Drosophila melanogaster: one gene and its partner. The protein of the gene in region 1 interacts with the protein of each later gene in a biochemical or structural test. Each region holds a gene or a part of one and is shown on either strand. Other genes may lie near its edges.

What was found.
Region 2: the proteins of flfl (region 1) and Cenp-C are reported together in a solved structure, tested with the Drosophila melanogaster proteins (one study listed by BioGRID).

What each region holds. Positions count from the first base shown.
Region 1 is NT_033777.3:13,682,111-13,687,107, reverse strand, and holds the start of flfl (falafel), read right to left. Parts: upstream 3,188-4,997; 5' UTR 2,958-3,187; intron 2,684-2,957; 5' UTR 2,584-2,683; intron 1-2,583. Other genes in the region: omd (oocyte maintenance defects), read left to right, coding at 3,975-4,081, 4,146-4,921, 4,977-4,997. UniProt on the Drosophila melanogaster protein: Regulatory subunit of serine/threonine-protein phosphatase 4. The probable PP4 complex Pp4-19C-PPP4R2r-flfl (PPP4C-PPP4R2-PPP4R3) is required to prevent caspase induced cell death (in vitro). May be involved in DNA damage repair.
Region 2 is NT_033777.3:8,562,419-8,569,867, forward strand, and holds Cenp-C (centromeric protein-C), read left to right. Parts: upstream 1-1,686; 5' UTR 1,687-1,836; coding exon 1,837-1,838; intron 1,839-1,910; coding exon 1,911-2,418; intron 2,419-2,479; coding exon 2,480-3,814; intron 3,815-3,877; coding exon 3,878-5,312; intron 5,313-5,381; coding exon 5,382-6,020; intron 6,021-6,091; coding exon 6,092-6,234; intron 6,235-6,300; coding exon 6,301-6,409; intron 6,410-6,469; coding exon 6,470-6,534; 3' UTR 6,535-6,830; downstream 6,831-7,449. Other genes in the region: mRpS18A (mitochondrial ribosomal protein S18A), read right to left, coding at 1-90; CG31460 (uncharacterized protein), read left to right, coding at 465-468, 525-946.

The DNA of each region.
Region 1 (4,997 bases):
GAAGATTGCGATGAATGAAAATGTGAAAGCTACGTTCGGTGTGCGTGTGTGTGAGTGTATTTTCGGAAGAAAGATGTGTGAAGAGAGAGAAGCCGTGAGAAGACCATGCCAACTAAAATGCGAAATGCAAAAAATAATTAAGAAAAGAAAAGAAATGTGCCCGGTCTGTTTACAAACATTTAGCGTTTTCCATTAGATCTAGGCCTTCCGCAGTGCGCGCGTGTATCTGTAAATGTATCCGTATCTGTGCGATGGGGTTTTCGGTATGAGTAGGTTTACTATACATATAGTATACACTATATCTGAGCCACTATTATCGCTGCGCTTTCGCCCCACGGCGAGAGCAAACACGCGCGCGAAGAAAACAAACAGCGGCGAGGGCCAGAGAGCGGGTGACTCAAAACGAGGAAGGGGAGTAATCTAACCATTCTCGTACACAGAAAAAAAGTGTAAATAAACACATATCATACCCATATTTTCATTTATACACAGTTAACAATCAGTCCACTATTTCGTTATCTGCACGGCGAAAATCAATGGAGAAGTGTGTGAAATAATGTGCGAGTAAACAGAAGTGGCAAAAGCTACGTCATCGTTGAAGAGCGCCACCTCAATGTTGACTGTCCACCACAAATATTTACGTCACTCTAGATCACCCAACCGCTCACCACCCACCGCCCGCAGTGCCACTCGCCCAAGGTTGCAAGACGTCGGGGAAAATGCGTGCTGCGCTGTTTCGAAGCGATTTGCACAGCGATTAAGTTCCCACTTCCATGGTAATTCCAATAAAGCGCCATAGGCCACTGATAACGCCCGCAGGAGAATTGAAGCCCAGGCGGAGAGCCTGAGTATCTCAATCTCAATCTCAATCTGTAACTGAATCGGATTCCAAGTCTGAATCGGTACCAAAACAAAAGTAGCAATTCAAAACAAACGTAGCGAGCGGTTTCGTTTACGCAATCAGCTGCGAAAAACACGAGAATGCTCATGTGTACATAAGTGTGTCCAAGTGCCGCACAGCGCCACAGATTTCGTTTATTATTAATTTTTATTAATAACCAGCGGCCGCAGAAGGTTGCGAAAAGTGCCGAGAGAAAATCTGTGTGCGAAATATAGAGCTCTGGAGTCGAGTCATCAATAAAGTCCGGCAAATATGACAACTTGGCAGTATTTTTTCGCCCCAGCAACAATTAGTTTTTATAGGGAAGTTAGTAAGAGATACAGTTGTGAACAAGTCGGTGGCCTTTTTGACTCTATTTCGCTACTACCTAGTTAATAACACGTGTGCAAATCGTATTATGAATCACTAGACCTCTTTTATTCAAGGCATTTTCGTTTGGTTTGTAGATTACAGTCTTAGTATGTTGTAATTAAATTCGTAGTAGAATTAAGTTTAGGTTATAGTAGACAAAAATACAAACTAAGATAGGAATTATGCCTATCAACAAGTTTACATCTGATTAGGGAACTTAAGGTACTTGGGTACAGTATTAAAACTATGAATAAAATTTAGGAAGGTAGCAGGAAATTAATAAATATTGTTAAGACTTTAAATACCACCGGTAATTGTGTGAATACAAATAATACAACTATGCTCCATCATTTCAACCGCAACTGTAAATGGATAATTGGAGTCTCGCTGCTCTCTTCCTGTTCTTCGCACACATACACACGCATGGGCGCGAACGCTGCAAGTGTCCGTGTGAAGAAGGAGAAGGCGAAGAGGTGGGAATCCAAAAGCTAAGGATGCAGGACTTCATTAGGAAGTGGTTCGCATATCCCTTTCGTTATCTTCTTACTTTCGCCCCCAGCAATGAAACGCCATGAATTGGGGGAGACGGAATCTAACGATTGCGAACGCGTCGTATCTTGTTTTTTGCATGCATGACAATGTGTGCAGAATACGCGCGCGCTCACACACTAAACCACTCGCACAACCGAAGGCGTGTGTGCATGTATGCAATTTTTTGGGGTGGTATTGGCGGTGAAGGCAGGAGGGATGAAGGGAAAGAGACGGGCGGAGAACTCGAAAATTTAGCAAGTAAACACTCTCCGATTGCGATTACAAAGTCAGCTAATTTCCTTTCATTTTTTATTATAAATTTTTGATTCCGTTTTTTTGTTGATGCCCAACAGTTGATGTATTTTCATACGCGATACACACACAACGCGCTACAGACACTTGGACGCACACAGACACAACGTCTGGCAAGTACATCGCTTTTTGGGCCGTCTCTTTTGCGGTTCATTCAATAAAATTATTGCGAATGGCAGGCGCAAAACAGAATCGCAAAAATTGCAGTGTATTGTGGGAAAGAAGAAGAGGCGTGTGGTAAAGAAAAATGCCGTCTCTCCACCACACACATTACACATGCACGCAATTTTGATCGCTACACGCGCCACCCACACTCTGCAATGTTTTTGTTGTTGTTGCAAGCCGATTTTGTTTTGATTCGATACTTTATTTATGTATACATAATATTTAGGAGCAGCGCATTTCCGCGATATTCGCTGGCGATTTTGCATTTCATTGAAACGCACACAAAACGCAGGGAAAAGAAAAACAGACGACGGCTAACTCACCTCGAACACACGCACACCTACAAACCACACACAGCGGAGAGCGAGGAAATTCAACACGACGGTATGCGTTGTTGCATAAAGTGCGATAAAAGGGGAGACACTGAAAGAAGCAAATCAGCCGAGTTGTATTCAAAATCGGGATCCAATATGGGCTATTGCCGGGATATATAGTCCGATTCCCTGGCAAGGCCGCAAATCATCCACGGAGTACGTGAGAACACACCGTCGGTCACATTCACAGTAAAATTCAAACACACACACACTAGCACGCAGACAACACAGAAGCCGCAAGAGGGCAAAAGAGAGCGGGAGAGAGAGAGCAGCAAAGAGAGAGAAAGAGCGCGGGGGCAAAAACCAAAAAGTTATACACTCACGCTGCAATTCCTTGTTTCTGTTTCTGGCGTTTTTCGCTTTTAGTGCTTAGCACGCTGGCTGCATTCGATCAGTTTATATACAATTTTCTCTTGCGCATATTTATTGGGGGATCACGAGTTAGTTTTCGACCAATATATCTTCCCGGATAATTGTAATTTTCGCTATTTTCCGCGGACCGACGCTAGAGCGTTGGTCTGACCACGACGATAATATCTGCGTATCGATACTCGGCCAGAGAGTACAGCGATAGTTGCATATGACGAGAATGTGAGCTGTTATCGATATCGAACTCTAGCACCCCTGTGACGCCACCATTGTTATGGTACTCTATTAACATATACTTGGCAAAACTGGAGCACCTTGAATGAATATTTGTACAAATCAGAGCAGAAAAAAGCAAACAGCACGACAAACTGCGAGACAGATTCGCCGCTTCGACGCCATGTTGTCTTTCGCTCTTGATTCGCCCCAAAAGAGTGTGCAATAATGCACGAACTGGGTTTTGGTGTTACCGTTTTTCGCACTCCCTACTGTTACGATAATATTTTAAAACAAAAACACGTTAAATATTATAAAATTAGAAAATAGAGCTATAAGTACGTTTACTTAGTATTAAAAAGAGCAAACAGTTTGATTACTCAGTAATTACATCCTCGATTCGAAAGTTAGCATTGTAGTAAACACATAATTCCGATTAGAAATCTTTTCCAGCTTAATTTAACTTGAATGTAAAGTGTCATCTTAAACTAATCTCAGGTGCTAGTTTATAATGAATGTAATGACACGTTAGAGTGCTAAGATATTTATTATTCTGTTAATTTTATGATTTTCAGATATTAAAGAATTTCGAATTTTCTGCCGCCTTAGTGTGGCCAGGTGGCGGCGGATTCCAAATGCCTGCAGTTGTGCCCCGTCGTTTTGGTATTCCGAGTGAAAGACGCAGCGACCCGCTGCTGCGATGCATTTGCTCACTTGGCCAACTTCGGTGCTGCGTTCCCGATGCCTAGGACGACAAAATGCTGCGCCAGAACCTGTTGGATCAGCTTAAGCACTTCATAGAGACGGTGAGCAATGGGCACAGTTGTCCGCAGCTGCTGACCAGCCCCAATCTCATCAAGCTCGCGTGAGTAGCAACCGCGGTGGTTAATAATGATGCCCGTAGTAAATAATTCCATGGATATTTGCAGACTGGGATTCCTGGAGGAGCTGCCCGCCACGCGAGACATTGTGTTCGAATACTTCGCCCTGCTGGCCGAAATCAGTGTGCAGCTGTATGTGTCGCCGGAGATGGCCGACCCAAAGACCGGTATGCCGGTATCCCAGGTGAAGCTGGCCGGGAATCGCCAGCAGCAGCAACGTGCTCCGGAATACGAGGCTTTCAATCTGGTAAAGACCGCGCTGCAGAGTCTGGTGTGGAAGGGACCGCCCGCCTGGTCGCCGCTCATCGCCAACTGGAGTCTGGAACTAGTGGCCAAGCTGTCCGATAAGTACACCCAGCGGCGGATGACCATCACGGCCAGCTGCAACTATTGGCTGGAGTGCAGCGCCATGCACGGGCTGATGACCCTTATAAATAGTTGTTTCCGAAAGTTAACCCAACCGGAGGAGGAGGCCTGCGTGGAGATCATGCTCAATGCCTTTCACCGGTTTCCCATGACCTTCGACTGGATTGTGGCGAGATTGGGCGGCTGTTTCCCTTACAAGATCATCATGCAGATTCTACAGTGCGGCATCAAGCGATTCGTCGATGACTACCGCTGCCACCTGGATTCGGAGGCGGGCATCCTCGATTATATGACCTCGTGCCACGAACAGCACCTTAGGGCAGCCTTTCGTGAGATGCTTAGGGAGGGATTCGCACCGAAGAAGCCGCTGGACGTGGCCGTTGTTCCTTTCCTGCTGATCACCACCAACTACTCGGACACGATCCTGCAGAGCTTGGTCAATGTGCTAGTCGAAATCTGTAAGTACTGGTTGAATAAAGAGATATATTATTTCTCTAACACAATGTCATGTAGATACCGAGGACATGTGCGAGG
Region 2 (7,449 bases), 5.1 Mb from region 1:
TATTTGCCTTGGCATTGTGGTGGCTACGCCACGCACCTGAGCAATGGTACTTCGTACTGTCCTGGTGGCCAATTGCAACACAAAGGACATGTTGAAGGCGTTTTTTATTTACAATTTATTAAAATTGTGCTCAAGTGTAATGTTGTTACTACAAATGTCATTCACCACGAAAGCCGCAGCGTTGCCACATCAATTGATTTAAATATTACTTCTCAAAAAAAATTATCGATGTCAGTATTTAAATAACGATATCTGTTTTTATTTTTATTGCAAGCACAAATTTGTCATTCGAGAATTTTTCATGTAAATACGTAAAAAAAATAGAGAAAAATGCCTGCCTAACGAATAAAACTTTGTTTAGTCGTTACATACTGGAATATCCCTTGTATTATCAAATATCAGTTTCGATAGTTCGATAATTCACTACACGTATAAGAAAGACGCCGGCTGGAAGAAAAAGTAATATGTGTAAGCAAATGCAAGGAAATTACGGCCAACAAAAACTAAACTCTGAACCTTTGCAGCCGCTTCAGTGAGCAGTAAGAGCACCGTGGTATCCTCCATCATCTCGGGCCTCCTGAGCATTGTTTTGTTCGGCACACTGCGTTTCTGCTCAGAATGGTTTAACGACTCGCAGCTGAGGGTCCTTTTGGGCGGATACCTCTTCTCCTGGGTGTTCATCCTGAGCCTCACGTGCGTCTCCAACGCGGAGATGGTTGTTTTCGGCCAGGACTTCCAGGCCAAGCTGCTACCAGAGATTATTTTCTGTCTCTCACTCACGGTGGCCGCCGCGGGACTCGTGCATCGTGTCTGCGCCACCACCAGTGTTCTCTTTTCCCTGGTGGGGCTCTACTTCCTTAACAGGATCTCCACGAAGTATTACTCCGTTCAGGTGCCCAGCGTGGATGCTCCTACGACGAGAAAGGGCGGAAAGAAGTTCAAATGAACCATTCGTCTGCTTCTTATTTCATTACTAACACATTCGAATACCTAATCTTTAATAACCTTTAATAAATAACTAACTTATAAAGTCATGTCAATCGGTCACTTTGAAGCTATCCAAGCTCCATTATTACAGTTGGCCAGCCTTATACTACTGAGTATTGGTGCTGTGGAATAGGGGATCTTATTGGGAATTCATGAATTCAGTTAAAAAACTCCAATCTCTGGTTATATGGATATCGTAATCCTTTTCCAACAGAATCAAAACCTCGAACGCAAAGTCGTTTTCACAGCGTCTCTATTGCATGCCTTCTCGCAGAAAATGTATAGCTCCACTTTTTGGTTGCTTTTCAAAGCTGCTTCCAGTTGTTATAAAGTGAATTCGAACAAATAGATCAATCTGAAAAGTCGGTTTAGTTTGCTTTAAACATTTTGGATTTGTTTTGTCAACAAAAATTGCCGGCAAAGTGTGACCAGCTTGCGTTTTACGCGTTTAGTATATTTTAGTAATGAAATACTGCATATAATGGTTGCCTGCTGGTCAACGCTTTCGAGTATATTTTCAATAAAAACTTTTGAAATAAACTCAGCTGTATTTAACAATAACTGTTTAAAAACGATTGCATCATGCATTTGTAATTATACAGGGTGATGTCTTATTATTATCAAAGAAACTTTTAGATATTTATAGCTCTTTTCTGATAGTCTATTCGAGCGCTCTGGCAACACCCCACCTAGGCGCGCCTACAGACGTTACTGGCAACGCCAAATGAATAGCGTCGCGTCTTTTTTGTAGTTTAAAATTTTGTGGAGTTTTAGCGAAATAAGTTAAGTTTATTGTTGTCGTGTATGTAACTTCGTGAAGAATCCTTTTTTCAAGTTTCAATTGCAAATATGTAAGTTGCCACCGCGAGCATGCCATAGGCAAGAGAACATACAAACTCCGAGCTCACCCGTCTGTTTTTCAGGTCGAAGCCCCAGAACAACGACACTCTGGAGCTGGACGACATCCTAAGCCAGCCAGTGAAGGACAAGGAGCGCTTCGCCGCCTTTATGATGCGCAAGCTTGCCGAAAATAAGCCGGCACAGAATGACAATCTCTTTGGAAACTTCAAACTTGACTTTGACCTTGATTTCGAGGTTCCACTGATCAAGAAGTCTCAGGCTAAGCCCAAGTCCAAACTACCAGAAGTACAGCCCCTTGGGGAGTTGGTCAGCAAAAACAGTGCCGCCACCGAGAAAGTCAATGAGCCGCCTGTGGACCAGGCCCCCAATGAGAACGTGCCTCCGCGTCGATCGCCAACATTGTCGCCCAATAACCGACGTTCCATGCGCCGCAGTGGAAATGTACCCGGATCTGATAAACTACGTCGACATGCCATCCGCCGGCGGTCCAGGAGCTGTGGACGCCAATTGCTTCCAGAGTTTGAGGAGACCGTAAACTTGACCCGCAGCATATCAAGTCCTGTAAACTTCGTATGTTAAATACATGTCCCACAAATACCTAATCCTTGTACTAACAACAATGCTCTTTTAGTTACCAGAAATAAGCAGCACACCTTGCACAGAGAAACAAAAAGAGGAAGTTGCCAAAAATACAACAAGAGTGGAAACTGATAAACCAGCGGAAAAACCTATGGAACTATCACAAGAACCAGAGCCGGAAAATCCGCTGCAGACAAAGGTGACCTCACCTGCCAGGAACCCTATTCTTGCAGCTGAAATTGAACAAATCTGCAAAGAGCGACAGAGTTCCTTTCACAAGAATGTACTGCAGCTGGACTATTCTGGACGGGCACCGTACTCGCGACCCCCTACTCCGTCATCACCATCCGTTGCGGGCCTACGACGTACCTACACAATGGAAAAGGGCCCAGCTCCAGGCCAGCTGCTGCTATCGCCATCACATCGCTATGACACACCGAGCAAAATGCCAGTAGTTAAGGCAAAGCGGTTCAATCAGGAGTTAATGGTCCCGGACACGCCAGAGCGACAAAGTCACGACCCAGCCTGGCAATCAGAGCCCCAACCGGAGTTCGTAGTGCCGGAAACCCAGCCGCAGGATCTGGGAGAGTTGGTGCAGACTCTGTCGCGCAGCGCGATCAGCCCAATTGTGGTGATAAACACATCCAATTCGAATCGTAGTGTAAGAAGGGACGCTGTCGCAATGAAATCTGTTCCGACTTCGCCAGTTACGGCGTTATCTTCACCACCGATTGCGCCTTCTCCTAGGCGATCCGCCGCTGCCTCTCCCCAGAAATCCATTGCACAACTGCCGCGGGTGGAAGAAAATATGGATGCCATAATGACCGACGACGAAAGCGACGAACATCCCAGCACTGTGCCATTAAATCTAGCTCCTTCAGGTGGGAACACAACCCGGCAACGGCGTTTGCGCAGTAGTAATCGGGCTCGAGCTACAATCGAATCTCAGGAGAGCTCTATGCGCTTGCTTAACCTTCACAAGTCGGTCAATGCCAAAAAGTCAAAGCCGCGAAAGACTGCTATACCGCTGAATAAGGCTCCAAGTGCCCCCATTAATGGCGAGCAGTTTGCCCGCGAGCTAACCCGGATGAGCAACTACGAGATTTTGGATTTGCGCAAGCGCAACTCGTTGAACGAGATATATCCTTTAAATGGGCACAGAAACCATCGTTCAGAGAAGCTTATCCTAGAAGAAGAGATTCAGAGGGAGCTGCTACGTAGAAATCTAATGGATGAGGCCGAAGGTTTGCCAAAACAACAGTCCTCGGATGATTCGAATGAAGACTATATACCGGTTCCGCCAAAAACACAAAGTCTTCGAACTAAAAGCAATGATCGATCGCAGGGACGAGGGCGACCACGATCTACTCGTCGTGATCTTCCAATGGTAAGTTCAAGATCGCTTATATGTTGCGAAGGAAAAAAAAAACCTTTTTTCCCCGTTTTGCAGACAACAGAATTGGTAAACTATTTGGGTCTCTCCCAGACTTTAGAGACTCGACGCAAATCTTCAAAGGACGGCAAGCGTTGTCTGTACACAAAGGGTAGCTCGGACCATGAAGATAACGATTCATTATCACCTGTAAAATTGCCAAGACTAAGCAAGAGCATCCAAATTGTTCCGCCACCTCCAGTTTCACTGCGCTATTCGCAATCTTTGCAAAATCTGCCCTGCTCCGGAAAATTTGATTTCGATAATGTCGTGATGGCAGCCCCACCAGATTTCCATGATAGTGTAAATAGTGATGCAATTGAGATTGCTCCCCCGCCTCCAGAGTACGTTGTAAATACACGGGGCAGAAGCACAAGTGGGCGAAAGAGCAATAAAAATGACCTGGTTTTACCTCCACCGGGGTACGAAGGGGGCCAGGAAGAAGAACATGATGAGCGACCAAGCCAGCCGCGTTGCACAGCCAAAGAACTTCAACAATCCACTCAGAATGGACGAAGGGCGATGGAGAACGAACTGGTACCACCTCCTATCGAATATGTTGAAGAAGAGAATCGCAACAATGAGCAATCAAGGAGATCGACGAAAAATGGCAATCTTGTTGATCGAAATACACATAACGCAGTAGAATATTGTGAACCGCCAGAGCCACCAGAGTACGACGATAGTGACCATGGGCAAGCAAGTATACTGAGGAGAAGTGGAAAAAAATTGCAGCACTCCAAACAGAGTGTACAAAAGTCCAATAAGGAACAAATTATTGCACCTTCGTACGAAAATAACGAAGACTATGACAGTGACGAGGAACCAATTTACAATGAAGAATACGGAAAAGAGGAATCTCAAAATAAAAATGTCACTAGAAGAAAGAGCGATAAGGATGAAATGGCATCACATACATTAGAATGTATTGAAGGTCCAGATCCAAATTGGAATTCGTCCTGTAACAAACAGAATCGTAATCACCAGAACGCATCAAAAAGCAAAGAAAATGATAAGTTAGCCAATCGTTCATCTAAGTCCCAGAAACTCTCAAATCCCCGCCAGAATGCAGTTGGTACAGAAAAATCCGTAGCTCTAAGCAATCGAGGGGAAGAATGTACCGAGAAATCATCAGACGTTATGGAATCACTTCGCGTTAACACACCCACTCCTCCGATTGATCAAAACTCAGATGATGTTCCCAGCAGAAATCCATCTCCCAGTAGGACTCTTTTGTCTGACGACGTACCCAGCACGAGTAGAGCGGCGTTGGAGTTTTTGCAGCGTAGTCAGAACATGTCAAAGAGTCGTCCCCCGGATGAATCAAGCGCGGATGTGGTGTTCAAGAAACCATTGGCACCTGCACCAAGGGCGAAATCAAAAAAAGGGAAGTCTGAAGTAGACAAATTAAAGCTGGCCAAAATGCCGGTGGAAGCTGAGGAACTAAATACTAGTGAGTATATTCAATAATAAATGTTTTGATAAAATTAAATGTATGCTCTATTATTTTCTGCTCCCTTAGCCGGTATTCGGAGATCAAAGCGCGGTCAAGTTCCACTTCAGATGAGTTGGTGTCACACCATGGATCCTAGCAAGTTTAACTTTATGAGTGGCTTCATAGAGCCTCGCAGCAAAAACTCAAAGACGAAAAAGGGAAATTTGAGTAAGGCGAAGAAAGCCAGTGCCACAAAGCCAAAGCCTACTGTAGAGAAGAACTTACCCGACAACCGGGGACCATTGTGCAGCAGTACCCCAAGAATTTCTGAAAAGCTGCCAGGGGCCATACCGCATTCCGAATCCCTTGGCCTGAGTACCTTGACGTGGGAAGAAACTGAAGTGCAAGCAGAGGCTGAGAAGGTGCCCAAGAAAAGGGGACGACCAAAGAAGGCAGTTGGAGGTGTCCAAACTGATACGGAGGCTGAGCCAGAACCAGAGCCAGAGCCTATGATATCTTCGGTTGCTCCACTTACAAGCGATCAGGAAGAGCCTGACGTTCCTGACGAGCAGGCGCCTTATACGGAAGCTGCGCTAGGTCCCGTCGTATTTTCAACTCCCCTGAGAGACGAGCAGGAAGAAGCCTCCACTAAACTGATGCAGTGGCTGCGTGGCGTCGGCGATGCACCACCCAGTGCAAGTATGTCGGATGAAAACGCCAGTGTCTGTAAGTGTAAAATCTATAGAAATTGAATCCATATAGCTTATTTATTAATAATTGCTATTTTTCATTGCCAGCTTCTGCAAACGAATTGATTTTCTGTCAGGTAGATGGTATCGACTACGCTTTCTACAATACAAAGGAGAAAGCAATGCTGGGTTATATGCGATTCAAGCCATACCAAAAACGTAGCATGAAACAAGCGAAAGTCCATCCACTTGTAAGTAAAATATAAGATTATTCCCATTCAACTCGCAGATCATTTTAAAACCTATTCTGCTTTTAGAAACTCCTTGTGCAATTTGGCGAATTTAATGTGGAGACCTTAGCCGTGGGCGAAGAGAAGGAAGTCCATTCTGTTCTGCGTGTTGGTGACATGATCGAGATAGATAGGGGTAAGATATTGCTGAATAATATTTATTATATATTATTTGAATGTTTCTTTTCTTCCTTAGGCACTAGGTATAGTATTCAAAATGCGATAGATAAAGTCAGTGTGCTGATGTGTATACGCAGTTAGTAATTGCTTTGTAATTTATATACGGATAAGTATTGAGCCGATTTATATTTCTTACGTTTTCGCCACAGAAAATAAAAATAATAAAGAGTTGTTTTGTTAAAATATGTAAGACCGACATAGTTTTTTCATGTATTTTAAGTAGCAAAGGTGATAGACCCACGCCATAACTTCGGGTCATATCCTAGCTGCTTAGAATTTCAAGTTCATTTTATTTCCATTTTCTTTGAAATTCACAAGTCGCTCGCCGTGATGTTGATGGCATTGGAGACTTCAAAAGCGAAATGGCAAACAGGGGTAACAACGCCAGAAAGAACAAATAAGCAGGCAACTTTCAAAACAATCTGCACGTCTGCTTTGTATGGCAATTTTTAAAAAAGCACACACACAAATCACACGCAGCAGGAACACAAACATAAATTTGTAAAAAAAAAAAAAACAAAACAAAAATTGAATCAACAGAAACTTTTCCGGCAGGTGTGCCAGTGCCTGCATCCCCACACGGGACTTGGAACATCGTTTAAAATTAACAAAACACCATCTAACATTCATTACAGCAGTGTCAACCCTTTGATCATCCCACACGCCGCACTCTATTACGAGTTTCCCGGAAAATACCTTGCAAATAAAAGGAATTAATAGAACGATTTTATATATAGATAATCTTATATATATTCTTTAGTTCACTTGATTGGTTTAAAATATGTTAATGGGAAGCTAAAAAACTAAATATTTTATATTCACATGCTTGCACATGTTCTCGGTTCACATATTTTCGCCGAGTGTGCACAGACAATTGAATCGGAATTTTTCAGGTCTCGCTTAGGCAGCTGGACTCCACGCCCACCGCCATGTGCAGCTCATGCATGGCAATCAGCGGGAAACCTGTAGTGTTTCTTTGAAGTCTTGCAATCCAAT